2 linked regions of the Astyanax mexicanus genome follow. The protein of the gene in region 1 binds, or shares a complex with, the protein of each later gene. Links are inferred from orthologs where the notes say so. Each region holds a gene or a part of one and is shown in the gene's direction. Other genes may lie near its edges.

The links.
Region 2: the proteins of nalcn (region 1) and nalf1a are in contact, whole or in part, in a cryo-EM structure (PDB 7CM3), measured with the Homo sapiens proteins. The link is inferred for Astyanax mexicanus from reciprocal best matches to the Homo sapiens genes NALCN and NALF1. Residues at the interface, in NP_001337678.1 of Homo sapiens: Cys207, Val209, Asn220, Leu222, Ala223, Ile224, Pro225, Thr227, Tyr237, Pro240, Phe243, Tyr406, Glu409, Phe909, Ala1044, Lys1045, Asn1047, Pro1049, Arg1054, Ile1060, Arg1062, Ile1063, Asn1064, Val1065, Ser1066, Lys1069, Lys1080, Lys1081, Gly1083, Phe1084; in NP_001073865.1 of Homo sapiens: Lys278, Glu281, Phe282, Val285, His287, Lys288, Tyr289, Leu290, Gln291, Glu294, Tyr295, Ser296, Val297, Lys298, Ser299, Tyr308, Trp311, Leu312, Gln315, Leu335, Gln338, Thr339, Cys341, Phe343, Ile344, Leu345, Pro346, Asp347, Asn348, Asp349.

Annotation. Positions count from the first base shown.
Region 1 is NC_064418.1:3,881,948-3,889,682, forward strand, and holds the start of nalcn (sodium leak channel non-selective protein), read left to right. Parts: upstream 1-4,649; 5' UTR 4,650-4,722; coding exon of another isoform or gene 4,723-4,749; intron 4,750-4,908; 5' UTR 4,909-4,928; coding exon 4,929-4,970; intron 4,971-6,353; coding exon 6,354-6,494; intron 6,495-7,735. UniProt on the Homo sapiens protein: Voltage-gated ion channel responsible for the resting Na(+) permeability that controls neuronal excitability. NALCN channel functions as a multi-protein complex, which consists at least of NALCN, NALF1, UNC79 and UNC80.
Region 2 is NC_064428.1:21,850,013-21,857,398, forward strand, and holds the start of nalf1a (NALCN channel auxiliary factor 1), read left to right. Parts: upstream 1-4,366; 5' UTR 4,367-4,761; coding exon 4,762-5,619; intron 5,620-7,386. UniProt on the Homo sapiens protein: Auxillary component of the NALCN sodium channel complex, a channel that regulates the resting membrane potential and controls neuronal excitability.

The DNA of each region.
Region 1 (7,735 bases):
GTGTGTACTTTGTGATTTAGCTAGCATACGCTCATAAAGCATATTAAATAAACATTTTATGTGAATTAATATTTTAGTTCCTTCCATCAATTTTATAATTATTATTTCAATGCATATAGACCTACAATGTACAATAGCAATGTAACACATATATAGGAACATATACTAAGTATACAATGTAAATTAATTATATTATATATAGTAGTAGAAAACTCTTGCCATTTAGCATAAGCATGTACTATAATATAGCATTTGATTTATAGTGAACTGACTAGGAAACTACCAAACAACAAACAATTTTAATTTGTGCCCCTTTGAGTACGTCTGGCACACCACCCCCACATTGCATTATGGTATACATTGGAAATTCTAGTGTACATTGTCTAAACACTACATTTTGTGATGCATTATAGGTGTTTAATATAATCGTGTATTTTTAAGACTTCTAAAAGCAATAGAAATTGGCTGACGCATCATATAGTGCATTATTTCTGCAGTAGGAAGCAATTCTGAATGCAGCACAAGTGTTTCCTGTCAAAAGCATGCAGGATAAATGTTTTATTCGTTTTACAGATTTTTTTCGTTTTACCCTTAAACATGAACAGCCAATCAGCTAGCTGCTCACGCTGTGAAATGAGGAGGGTCAGCCTGATATTGGGGAAAGCACCCCTGGATGAGGAGATCTGAGTAAGCGCAGAAGCTATAACAAGATGGATTAATCACATTTGCTTTTGCATCATTGTACATCATGATGCCAAAAGTTACTAGCTGTTAATGGCATTTTTGTCGGACTATATCAGTGATTTAATATATATTGTTAAAATTGTTAAAACCCTTGGTTTAAAGTATTTGGGTATTTGCTCATTCAAACAGATGGAAGGCTGCTCTTGTATGAGTGGATATAACTAGGTAAAGGTGGAATCTGTCCACATATTAGGAATGTTAGGATGCATTTGTTGCCTTTGATTTGGATACAGAGCCATATGTGGTTTTATTACATAGTAATAAAAAGTAAAAAATGTTCCATGGGTGGAACGAAATTGTGATCTCATGATCCAGTTTACACCTGGCCTAAAACACACTACACTATTATTACTGCCCTCTCACAATAATACAGGGAACTACAATAATGCATGATTGAATTTGATTTTTTTAAGTGAATGCCGTCACTGATATAAATATCATTCAATTTAGCCAATCAAATGATATTTAAAAAAAAAGGATGATCTAGAAAAAGTCACTCACACAGTTTGCACTCAACTTAGTCTGTGTCTCCAAAAGTGCCCAAACATTTACAACAAATTACACATTCACTCACTAAATCTCAGTACTTACCACATTTAATCAACATCTAGACATTTAAATACCTTGTAAATCTCATGTTCAGCTGTTTCTATTGTTTTTAGAGCTGGAGGAGGTGGCAGGAAAAAACGTTGACTAATCGACTAATCGAAATAAATAATCATCCGATTATTTTACTACTTGTTATCAAAGTAAAAAGTAAAAAAAAATGTCCCATAGGAAAAACAAACTCCCCAATAAGTGTTGTGATTTATTTCCTTACTAAAAATATAATCTATGCCACAGAGAGTTAATTATTCTATAATGACCTATAGGTTCAAAGAGTTTAACAGGTGTTTCTTCCTAAATCCTCCATAAATATTAGATTTATACCTGAATGAACGTGTGTGTGTGTGTGTGTTATAGTTGTAGTCCTGGCTGTGTGCATTGATTGTATCTGGTGCTGGAGGGCCTGTGTGTGTCTCGTGCTGCTGCTGCTGCTGAGGACAGGGCGCGTGCCCGACGCTGCCGCTGCTGCAGTAGCCCCTCCGCCGCCGCTGCTTCTGTAACCGGAGCTCCATCATAACCGGCGTTCAGCGGGAAACATGGACCCAGCGGACCAGTGAGGCGCGCAGACCGACCCACAGGTGAGCGGCGCGGCGCTGTGAGGTGATGTTTAGCCCTGTGGACCCGTGGTTTCGCTGTGAGGGCCGTATAGAGGGATTTGACTGGGCTGTTTACCTGTAGATGTTAGCGTTAGCATTAGCTTTAGCAGGAAGTGCTACACAGGCTATAGCTAAAGGCCTTGGGTAAAATAAACGCGTATTTAGAACGAAAGAAGCGACGTTTTAACAACGTGTAGGTGCTGAAAACGAAGACAGGCAGTTTTTAAGCGTGTAAATGTGTTTTGTTTGTATGTATCTTTAATAATAAGACGATTTATCCTTTTTTTTCCTGAGCCAGTGGCAGCCCTGCTCTCATCTGTTACCATGGCAACCGGCTCAGAGTGTGTGTTTCTGTGTGTGTGTGTGTGTGTGTTGGCTCAGGGAAAGAGGGAGGGAGGAGGGGGGATGGGGTCTCCATGTACATATACACTTTTGGTATACAAACACATTTTCCTACTTTTGCTAGAATTATCTACTCTGAGTAGTTTTATAGCTTTTTTTAATATAAAATCAAGACAATCAAGACTATAGAGGACAGGCATGGCCTATAATGTGTGAAATTAATGTTAGCTAGCTATAGTCACGTGTTCCTCCAATTTAAAGTCCACTGTTAGTCAATGAAGGTGGTCCATACTGTTATACTGATGATCTAGGTGTACGTTTTCCTCCAATACAGATTATGTATATTATGCTGAGGGGCTGTTGCTGCTCTAGTCTGAAATAGGAAACCCACACGCCTCTTCTTATATACCCATTACACCTAGTAACACTTAACCTGTTTGTTATAGCTTAGCTATAACTTTAGCTATAGCTTTCCAGTATGCATTATGTGCCCATCACATTTTTACATTCATAATTCAGTTCCTGTTTCCGCAGTAGCTATAGCTCTCCAGTAGGGGTGGGGGATGTGGCCCTAAAATAATATTTCAATGTTTCATGGTATTTTCGTAATAACGATACTCTTGGCATTATATTTCAAGAACACACTACATATTTGTATCAGAAGTCAATAATCCAGAATGTCATGATACTAATAATGCACTCCAAATATCTCCATACATCCAGGAATAAAGTAATATAAATTGTAAAATAAATAACTGATACTGGACAGATAACTGATAATATAAATAAATATAAATTATATAAATTTCTCTTTTTAACTGTTCATGTAGCTTGCCATCAGCTGCCAGAGCCCTGAAAGAGCACAGAGGGCTTTGCTCTCTCTGGTGGGTTGATGGCGCTCTCTCTCCCCACATCACTCCAAAGGGTGATGTCGATCAGCACAAGGTGTCTGTGAGCTGATGTATCAGAACCAAGTCTGTGCGCTGTCCTCCGAGCATGCTGGCTGCGCAGTAATGCTACATCAGCAGCAGTATCGGAGGAGGCATGTGCTAATCTTTACCCTCCTGGTTATTATTCAGAACTACTACAGGCTACACAATTTTTGCAATAATTTGACTTTTCAGTTAAAGCCTTTCAAATAATTTGTCACAAAATGCTTTTAGTTTGCTTTAAACCACATTGTTATAACATTCTGATTACATCTTTACTGTGCAAATAACCCTGGATGATACTCTTTACATATTTAAAACAGTTTCATACTACTTTGTGATACTAGGGGGCACCCACAGCTATCATTAATATGCCCAGTGATTGCATCCTGCCTCTGGCGAGAAGGTCCTTTCTCCAGAAGTGAAACTAATTGCAGTTCTCTCCAACCTACTCCCACATTACAGCACACCCACCCTGTAATTTTGTTTTCACTCATCCATAAATCCTTACCAACATATGCTAAGTGTAGCAATTAAGGCCTATTTTGCAGATTGCTTTTGACAATATAGAGCTTTTTGAGTAAGTTGTTCTCACTTGATGGAAAAGTTCTCACTTAAGTAGCTTAAGATAAAAACAAAGGCCTGAGTGAGGGTACATCTTTATTTTTCAAGTGTGTGCTATTGGTGGTTTGTCAGGTTATTAGAGACCCCTGGCTGTTCCTGTGTTTCTGTGGTTGGCATAAGGCCTTTGTTAAATCAGATGTTTATATGGGAAGCATATTTAACATAACAATGTTATGTAAACATGTCACAAATGTGTATAAACGTCACACATGTATAGTGAAGCCTACTGAATATACAGTTTCTAAAGACATAGTTAGATAGTTGGTGTGTGTTATATTATATACAGCTTAACGGGAGCTTTGGGAGGTTTTGACATTGGCATTACAGTATTCTTGACATTTTTTAATGTTTTCAGTGTTTTGTCATATCGTCAACTATATTGTTATCGCAGAAATACCATGCAATATCGTGATATTATTTTAGGACCAAATCGCCCACCCCTAGTTGGGAGCACAGCTTAATGTGAGCTTTGAGAGGTTTTCAGCAGTGCTAGATGAATGTTTTAAATGTGAAGAGGCTTTGTTTTGTTCATATATTGTTCATATATTGTAACATGCCAAATAAACTAGTATCCCATGACTTTTGCCATAAACCATGTATGATAAAGAACACTGCATTGACTTGTGATATATGAATATGAGAGCATATGGGTCCACATGCTGCTGATAACAATTATTACCCTCCAATGCTCTGTCCACTGTAGGCCCCCTGCTTATGTTATAATTAGAAAGGTCTATATATTTTCTTTAGAACAAAAAATAAATCCTAATTTGAGTTTTTCTTTCTTGCTTCATTTTCTTTCCTACAGCCGCACAAGAAAAGTCACAGCTCTGCTGCCCATTTATCTTTCGTACTGGTTTCCACCCCTCTGTGTTCTGGGGATGAATGCACCAATGAGGAGCCTGACCGTGAGTCACATGACCCAGCAACCCCATCTGTCCAGAACACCCCATGTCGCATATATGCCTTGTCTGATTGTGGTGGACATTATCTGTTGATATAATCGTACTGTACACGTTGGTACACCATATATGCCATGTTGACTAACTGTTGTGTGTTATTTACAGGGTATGCCTGATCGCATGTTATGTGCAGTGCTGGAGCAATTTCAGCTTTACTTTTCCCGTTGGTATGTGCGCTTTGTTTCAGTTAGTGTGTGATATCCATGTATATTATTGTCCACTGTGAGAATGGCCTTTACTTCGTAGTTTTAAGCGAAACTCGGTATTGACTGCCTGTAGGTGTGTTTATATTGCTGAAGATCGAGCATGATCTTTGCAGCAGGTAAGTCAGTATATATATTGGTGTGAAGTGAACCGTGTTCTGTGTGTTTCCATGCGCTTGATTGTGCTCCACCTATGCCATGCAACAATACAATGCATACTGTCTGGTGCGGAGACGTGTTCTTATGTTGTAATGCGCAGCTCCCGTGGAGAGATATCTCAGATTTGAGACTTTGACCTTTGTTCTGTTCGTTCTGCATGTCAGTGTAGGCATACCTGTATTAGACTCTTCCTTCTCCTTTTGTAGCAAAACTGTATAAAATACTTATAGAAATAGTGCTAAACTTTGAGCTTGCTATACGCTTGCTTGTCATACAGTACCAGTCAAAAGTTTGGACATGCCTTAAATTGATTAATACTAATGTCATCCAATCTATTAAGAAAAATATGACACTAATTTAAAAAAATGTGTTAAACAAACCAGAATTTGTTTTAAATTTTAGATTCTTCAAAGTAGCACCTCTTGCTTGCTTAGATGACAGCTTCCTCAGTCAGCTTTATGAGGTAGAGTCACCTGGAATTCAGGCTTTCAGTTAACAGCTGTGCTGAACTCGTCAAGAGTTAATTACTTGAATTTCTTGCCTCTTAATGTGTTTGAGATCATCAGTTAAAGTAAAGTTGTGAAAAGGTAGAGTTGGTATACAGTGAATAACCCTATTTGAGTAATGTTCTAATCCAGATTATGAGAAGAACTACTCAACTAAATAAAGAAAAAAAAATACTTTAAGAAATGAAGGTCGGTCAATCCAAACAATTTCAAAAACTTTGAAAGTATCCTCAAGTGCTGTTGCAAAGACCATCAAAAACGTAATGATGAAACTGGCTCTCATTAGGACTGCCCCAGGAAAGAAAGAGCAAGAGTTTCCTCTGTTGCACAGGATAAGTTCATCAGAGTTACCAGTCTCAGAAACACTTTTAATTTACTACATGATTTCTTATGTGTGGATGACTTCAGCATTATTAACTTACAGTGTAGTAAAAAAAAAAGAAAATAATTTAAACATTGAATGAGAAGGTGTGTACAGGCTTTTGATTGGTACTGTTTATTACTGGATTATTATTATAGTCCATTGTAGAGCTTTTAATGCCATAGTTTAGTAGTGCATGGACAGCAGCTATTAGCATTAATTGCGACATTAGCTTTTAACACAAGCGGCTAGGAACATCGTAGCCCAGTGCTAACTGCGTTTGGAGTCAGTTTTGGTACTGTGTGTGGCTGTGTCTTTCAGATTCACTCCCTTTATAGCACGGCTAGTCCCAGCATGCTGAAGAGGAAGCAGAGCTCGCGCGTCGAGGCGCAGCCCATGACGGATTTTGGGCCTGATGAAACGCTCACCGACAGTGCTGACATCCTCTGGATCAACAAACCAGTGAGTCATTCAAATGAGATTGTGCCACATATCTGGCATTTCCATCCCTAGAAGTGGCAGCTAATAGACTGTGCCCTGATTATCCCTGATGGCTGGTGTCTCAGTGACATATCAGGACTGTGCGCTTACTTTTTTTTTTAGCTAGTAGCACTGGCTATTTTTTAAATCTAGCAGCTTATTTCCATTTCAGACTTTTATAGGATACAAACAATTTACATAATGAAATTATGTTTTTCTCTGGAGACGTTTTAACAACCTTTTGATGTTCTGCAAATCTTTCTTTGTATGTGTAAGAGCCGGCATTCCTTTTAAAAATACCTTTTCTCCACAATAAAAGGTGCTTTGCTATGTCCTTGGATTTACTTACTACACTATTAAGCTAGGAATGCTGTAGAATATTTGTCAACTGTGTTTCCTGATAACACTGCATATTTAATTTCATATTTTCTAAGATGTAATTGGCATCTTGCACTAACTAATAATATATAGATCTCTGGAAAAATAAAAGTTTCTTTGATTTTACCAAATTACTACAGGAATATAATCAAGAGGAATATGGATGGTCACAAGCTCTCAAACCAAGCTGAACTGCTTGAACTTTTGCACCAGGAGTAAAGCAGCATAAAGTTATCCAAAAGCAGTGTGTAAGACTGGTGGAGGAGAACATGCTAAAATGAACTCTCTTTGCTCATCAGGCATCTGTTGGATGCCCCACTGTATCATAGCTGGGAATCTGCACTTTCCTCTGAGCAATTTGGTTGCATAGTAAGGATGCAGTGGTAGCAATGGTTGCAAAATTGGGAAGAATATTGGGTAAACAACAAAAATGAATTGAACTAAAAATATTTTAACACATTATAGGGCTCCAAATTGTCCAGTGGTCTAAAGTGCTCCCACTATGATTGGTTGTCAATTGGCCTTGCTCTCTCTGGGTGGGTAGATGGTGCTCTTTCCCCACATAATTTCAATGAATGATGTCGATCAGCACAAAGCGTCTGTGAGCTGATGTATCGGAACCGAGTCGCTGCGCTGTCCTCCGAGCGCGCAGTGATGCTACTCGGCAATATTGCATCAGCAGCAGTTGGAGTTCTGGTGTTGGGGCATCACTAGTGGTAGTAGTAGGGGGAGTCCTAATGAGTGGGTTGGATAATTGGTCTTGTAAATTGGGGAGAAAATGGAATAAAAAGCTCATACATCATAACTGACATATATAGAGATATAACTGTTGCATTACATTGTAT
Region 2 (7,386 bases), on another chromosome or scaffold:
ACTCAGATTCAAGCACAGCTCAGCTTGACACGCCATTTCTCAAGACGTGTGGAGGACAAGTAGCAAAGGACCTTTTTTTTTTAGAATACAGCGCCTATTGTTTTGGCTATTCTTCATAATAATAAGACTTCAGATTACATCAAAAAATTATATTTTTCCAGCTTAATCACTATATATTTTTAGGAAGCAGCACACTTTCTTCTCCAGAGTACTAATAGCTGACTCCACCCCTTCCACACACCTGTGGGCCATCAGCTGATTACATGGACTATTTATATATATACCTGGTCACTTGCTTAGTTTAATTGTGAGACATTGCCACACTAGTGACTTATCGAGTGATTTCCTTCAGTGTTTGGTATTTCTGTTTTTAATATCCTTGCCTGTCCTTGACTACCACTTTTGCCTTGTGATTTATTCCTGGTTTTAAACGCATTTGCATCCAAGCTACCTTGGTTGGTTCTTATAGGTTGGTCTTGTCAACTACATACATCGGAAGGGGTTCCAAATTTGACCAAATTTAGCAAATTTCCCCCTTTCATTCATATCTGATTTTCTCCATATGGAGTGTACTAAATTATTCAGTAAGCCACGTTTTATATTTGGGTGCAGTTTCTTTATTCCAGACCAATAAAATTGTCTTCTTGGCTATTACCATGCCATGCTGGATTGCTTGTATTATACTATGTATTATCACTTTTATATATTTTCATATATTTTTGTATATATTTTCACTTTTATATTGCCATTTAAATAAGACATAGTTAACCTACAGTTGCAGATATTTTCAATTGTTCATGGTGACCCTGTTCTGTTTTAATATCTTACCATGAAAGGGTGGAGAGCTGACATTTACCTCAGCAAAGTATGGAGACAATATTACCATTAACATTAAAGGAGACATATTATACCATTTAATTACATTTTTATAGATATAAGTTAGAACAGGTCTATGGGCCATACTGTACAAAACAAGTTCATGAAGTTCTTTGCACAAAATCACGTACATAATTAATCACAGCCTTATTCTAGTCAGTTTCAGTCTTTTTCAGAATAAGCCATTTGAGGGCTCTGTCACTTTTATGCAAACAAGATGTCACTGGCTATGCAATGTTTATGCTGAGCGTTCACAGCATGTTAAACCACTCATTGTGTAAAAGTGTTTACGTACACACCCCTCAACTGCTGACTTCCCACAGACAGTGGTTAGATAGCTATAGATCCCTCCGTCAGAAGAAGTCTGCTGGCTAATCCTGCTTGTGCACTGTCTGAGATTCTGAACCAAAATAACTGAAATTGCTGAGCTAGTGAGTGGAGCTCTGGTGGCGGTTGACGGATGAGGGGTGGTGCAAGGGTGTTTCTATGCATGTTTTCTTATTGTGACATCACAATAAAGGTAGCTATTTAAACTACTCTTAAAAGCATATGATTCTTGATACCTAACTCTTTCAACTGATTCACAGAAAATGGATGGATGTTTTTTTTTTGCAATGTTGGAGTGTTTATAGGTACAGTCAAGACCCAAGTGGAAATACAAAAAAAAAATCATGCAAAAATGTATCAGTCCTGTCACTGTTCGTCAGCTTCTGAATGCTTCTGAAACAAACTCCAATTCCTATGACACACCTGCACTCAACTCTCTGGACATGCCGGATCACGTGACTCATGGGTGTTCCAGTTCGCCCTCCTACTGATTGCACACACCTGGACTCTGCACTATAAATAGCATTCACTTTCACTCACTCCTTGCCTGGTATTGAACGTATTTTGTGTTTTGACACTTTTGTTGCCAATGCTTTTTGTATTTTTGACTGCTCTTTAGTTTGTTTGTTAGCTTTTTTTGGCTCTGACCTATTTCTGTGTATTTACCATCCTTTTGTCTTGCCCTATTACTCTGTTTTGGATTACCTGTGTATGACCTTTTTGGCTGCACACTCTGGTATGTTGTTTATTTATGCTGCCATTTTGTTAATTTGATAAATATTTAATAAATTATCTATATCGTATCCGCACTTTTCTGTCCTGTGTTTGGCTCCTGTGACAATAATATGCATGCGTAAAGGTGAAATTAATATTATTTATTGCTGAACATGCAGAAAGTGTCTTCAGCCCCTTTAAAATAAAACAGTGCATAGGTTCTGATGTCAGGGATGGAGCAGCGGTTATCTCACAAAGATAACGTTTCTTTATTTTTGTAACAACATTTTAGTTCAGAGTAAATCTTGAAAAATGGAAATGCAAATATTGCTGGGTATCAACTGCTCAGTTCTAATCAGCAAAAAACTCAACAATCCTTCACTTAAATATGGGGCTCTTAATATTTGTGAAAGATGAGTGTTAAATTCAATTACAGTATGTATTTTTGTAGTTTTTACAGCATTTAGGGCCCCTAAATACATTATATCCACACTGTATGTAATCTGTCACTGGAGGTGTTGAGATTTTGCTGATACAGGTTGTATTAACCAGGGAGAGAAGTGAACATCTAAATATTTGTCAGTATTCAGGGGCTGTCTGTCTGTCAGTGCGGGGCACATTACATTCATTTGAACAACTGAATTAGTTTGACATGCTTTGACTTCAACCAAAATAAACACTGCTAAATGAGGCTTTCTCCACATAGACCGCTATTGTTGCTGATTTCCTCATATTCATGAGCTCAATCATGTTGCTATGCTACTGTTTTTTTGAATGGGCAACCTGTTGAAAGCACTTATTAAAAGCTTTCAAAAAAGCATTCCCACCAATGAGTAGAGCTGATATTTTTAATTGTGGCTTGTTTTCAAAGGGAAACACACACACACTGCCAATCAATATAAGTCTAGCATGTTTTATTAAGTAAATATTGATGTGTAATTATAGTTTCGAGTGTAATGTTTTCTGTCTTTGTGAAATTGTATTAATATAACTAGGTATTGCATTGTAAATATTGTTTTTGACTATTATTCTGAAATCACTGGATTCAGTCAGAGTGCTTCTTCATGGAATACTAGTCTGCCTTGCAGTTTCTGAAAGCCTACAAATTACAATGATTTCTGCACATATATGACTATGTGAATGGTCAGTATAATGTTTATCTGTTTACCTTTCTGGCTGTTTGAGGCTACTTTTAATCTAGTGTTTCATTTCTGTCTCTCACAATATGAATAAAAAAAATAAAAATAGATCTTAATTTTTTGTATTTTAATTTTTGCACACACAAAAATTGATTTTCTTCTTTTTAATTTCTGCCGGATTAGGATCTGAATTCCAGAAAAAAAAACAATTGTAATATCAGAAAACTTTTCTTTTTTCATGTAAATTTGATCTTGAGGAGCAGAAATAAAAAACTTGAAAAAATATTTGAAAACCCAAATTTATCTTTAATATGTCAAATGTAAACATTTAATAATGAAGTTAACACCCAATTTTCTATTGTCTCTATTGTCAAATTTAGCCTCAAAGGGTCGGAAAAATTCAACTGATAAACGTTACACTGACCATTGTAATTATGATGTATTGTTTGTTATTTGTTATGTATGATATGTTGTGTCTGTTTTGTTTGCAGATAGATATAATGAGGATCCAAATAAAGCAATAAAAAAGAAGAATAAAACATCAGTTCAGTTTTATAGTAAATGGAGTGGGTTTTTTGTTGACTTTGAACTTTAAAACTGTAGGAGACAGTGATTATTTACTCTTTTTTTTACAGTAACAAAAATGTAAAACAAGGAGCCTGGCTGTATTTTTTTAGCCTAAAGCGTAGTCGGCAAAGTGGTAGGATAGATATTTTTTCTTTTTTTTTTTTCTGTGCACAGTTCATGTATTTAGCCGACGTTGACCTGTGCATTCTGTTCGGGTATCGTTCCGCCGGTATCGATATGTATCGGCTCACCCCGGGTTGAATCTGGCGCGCCGGGGCAGATCCCTCAAAGCGGCCGGGATGACGCAAACGCTGCTGCTCTCAATAAAGCGCTTTCAAGACGAACATGGCGGCAACCCAACAGTAGAGCAAGATGACTGTGGCTGCTGATGTGGAGAGAACAGAGCCCAGCGTAAAGAATCGGCGCGCTGAAAGCAGTCCCTGCGCTCGTGAGCAGAAACCCCGGAACCGGCAGCAGCAGCAGCAGCAGGAGGAGCGGCGGCGGAGGCTCGAGCGTGTGGCGGCGGCAGCAGCGGCGGCGGCGGAGGGGGAAGCGGGGACGGCGTGCGCGCGCAAAGAAGGACGAGAAGAGCGGACGCGCTGCTAGAAGACAAGACGGACCGTGCTGGGACAGGACGGGACCGGACGCCGGGGTGGCACGCGCGCGGAGGTGGTGGAGGAGGAGGAGGTGGGGGGATAAGGGAAGGATAGGGTGGGGGGGTGGGAGAAGAGAAGAGCCAGCCATGTCGCCGCAGCCTCGCGCCTGCTTCTTTCTGTTGGTAGAGTCGCGGCGGCTCGCGGGCACGGGGGGTCGAGGATGCGCGCTGTAAAACCCACCGCTCGCTTGGAATCGCTCGAGCACCAGCATCAGTGCCAGCATCAGCACCACCAACATCATCAGCAGCATCAGCATCACCACCAGCGGCGGCAGCAGCAGCAGCAGCAGCAGGACTCCTCAGCGGTGGGGGGGAACACGACGCGGGGTAGAAGCAGCGGCAGAGGCAGGGGTACCGGCAGCGGCGGACCAACACGTCGATGACCATAGCGGCGTCGGTGGCGGAGGAGCCCCCACGGTGGAGTCGGCCCGTGCTGCTGCTGCAGCTGCTGCTGCTGGTGGTGCCGCCGTGCGCGCCCGAAATATGACCAGCGGCGCTCGCGAGGCTCGACAGGATCATCGGCAGCGAGACGACGACGGCTCCAACCCGTGCACGCGCTGCTGGCGCTGGTGCTGGTACTGGTGCTGCTGGTACTGGTGGTGGTGGTGGTGCTGCTGCGCACGCGGTCGGAGCTCCAGCTCCAATAAGGACAATAACGACAGTAACAACAACGACAGCGAGGAGGAGGAGGACAACAACGACGCGCAGCCGATTTCCACCGACTGTCAGAGGGCCTGGCGATGGCGATGGCGCCGGTCACTGGCCTCTTTCCTCTTCCTCACCGGGCTGCTCTCTGAGCGCCTGGGGCCGGCGTGCGCAAGCTTGGGAACGGACATCATGGACTCTGGAACGGGAACGGAGACGGGATCGGGGATGGGAACGGGAACAGGAACGGGCCACGAGCCCTGCAGCCTCAGGAGTAACGAAGATGTTATTTTTATAGCGAACTGCTCCACTGAGAACTGCCTCACTTTCGTGGACGCCGACCACCTGTGCAAGGGTCTTTGGGGAGCTCTAGTCGGAGCCGGAGCTAGAGTTGGAGCTGAAGGTGGAGCTGAAGGTGGAGAGGGCGAGTGGAGCGCGCTCGCGGCCCGCCTGCGCCTCTCCTTCTGCGACTCGTACTCCCTCATGGATCTGCTGGAGGGCAGGTCGAGGCCGGACCTCCTGAACTGCAGCGTGGACGCCATGCGCGCCGGCGACTTGGACCGCTGCAGCACGTGCGTGCAGGCGTACCAGAGCTACGACGTGCACGCGCAGGAAAAATACGAGGAGTTTGAGCTCATGACGGAGCGATACGTAACGGATGCCTACTCAGTAAGGACGTGCATGGAGGAGTGCAAGGTAGGGGCTGGTGAAACTGAAACTAACTAACTTAAAAGATACGTTTATAGCTAATTGTTCATTTCGGATTGTTACAGAACGTTGTGGGAACGTTAGTTTTTGAATTCTGAAACGGTAACACACGTGCTAATGGATTATTTTATGTTGACCTTTGGTTCTCAAGGAAAAGTTTAATTTATAGCTTTACAGAAATAAAAAAAAGATCCCGTTTGATTATAATTTTAGAAACATTACCTTTACGTTCCTGTACTCTTCAAACGATTGAGCCCTTTGAGGTAAACTTGCAGTAACCTGTAAAATGTAAAGTGATTTTTTTTTCTCTCTAACTGAATCATGAGAAAAAATAACGTGACTGGAAAGTTTCCTTATACACATGAGAAATAAAAATCTGCAGACAATTTTGAGCTAACTTTCTTTGGTAGTTCTCATAAATTCATTACAGTACTTTTAGGTTTTAAAGTTTTCAGAACGTTCTGGGAATGGATTGCTTTTGGTTAATTTTTGGTTCCTTCGGGGGAAGTTTAATATACTGCTTGACAGAAGAAATAGTAAGAAATAGAACATTCCCGTTTACTTGTGCACTATAATTTTAGGAACGTTCCCCTAAACGTTCCTGTAAGCATAAAATTGTTGATACTTTAGGAGTACCTTGCACTAACCCTTAAATTGAACATAGAAATGTTTAGTAAACTCAAATATTTGTTCTACAGTTTTATTTTTTTCTCTTACTGTATCATGAGAAAAAATCCAGGGACGTTAGTGGAACGTTAGTTTCTTTTTTCACATATGAGAAATAAATCCTAAAGAAAACTTTAAGATAAGGTTCTTTCTTAGGTAATTTGTTAGACTATTCTCTAACAAAAGTAGAACAACATTGTCTGAACGTGCCACAAAACAACCAAAAGGAAACCAAAACACAACGTTTCGTGAACATTCTGTGATAGCTGAGGAGTTGGGTCTTCCACCCGTGTCGTCATGGTAACTGTTGGCAGTTTCGTTGAAATGTGTTTTACGCACACACACAAAAAAGTGCATTTTCATATCAGAGCGCCGCTTCCTTTGTTGTTCACTGATGCGGCGCCGCTCGGGTCGATGCATCAAGCTTAAATTCTAAAGGAGATGTTTGTGCCGTTGTGGAGCAATATCCTCATCCAGAAATGAAGCATGAGTCTGTTCAGCTGCTGCGTTCATATGGTAGATGGTCTGTTCTGATCTATTAGGGTGGTGTTTTGAGCTGTCAGGTTCAGCACCATGGACAGGGCGCGCGCTCTCCAAACACTTGTTGTTAGATGTTCTTTCAGATGATTCCAGAACTGCACAGTTGTTTCAGTAATGGCAAATTGACTCATAGATAGGGCTAAACAATATGTGAATATCAGTATTTTGTAAACTAGGTGAGATATAAACATTTATATAATGTAATGCTGTACATGGATCCATATCGATATAACATGCGTTTTATGTCCACAGCATACAACTCTAAAAAAATTAAAAGACCACTTCAGTTTCTGAATCAATTTCTCTAATTTTGCTATTTATAGGTAAATATATTGAATAAATTGAACATTTTTGTTTTATTTCACTAAATTACAGACAACATTTCTCCCAAATTCCAAATCAAAATATTGTCATTTAGAGCATTTATTTGCAGAAAATGAGAAATGACTGAAATAGCAAAAAAGATGCAGAGCATTCAAACCTCAAATAATGCAAAGAAAACAAGTTCAGTTCATATTCAAGTTTTAAGAGTTCAGAAATCAATATTTG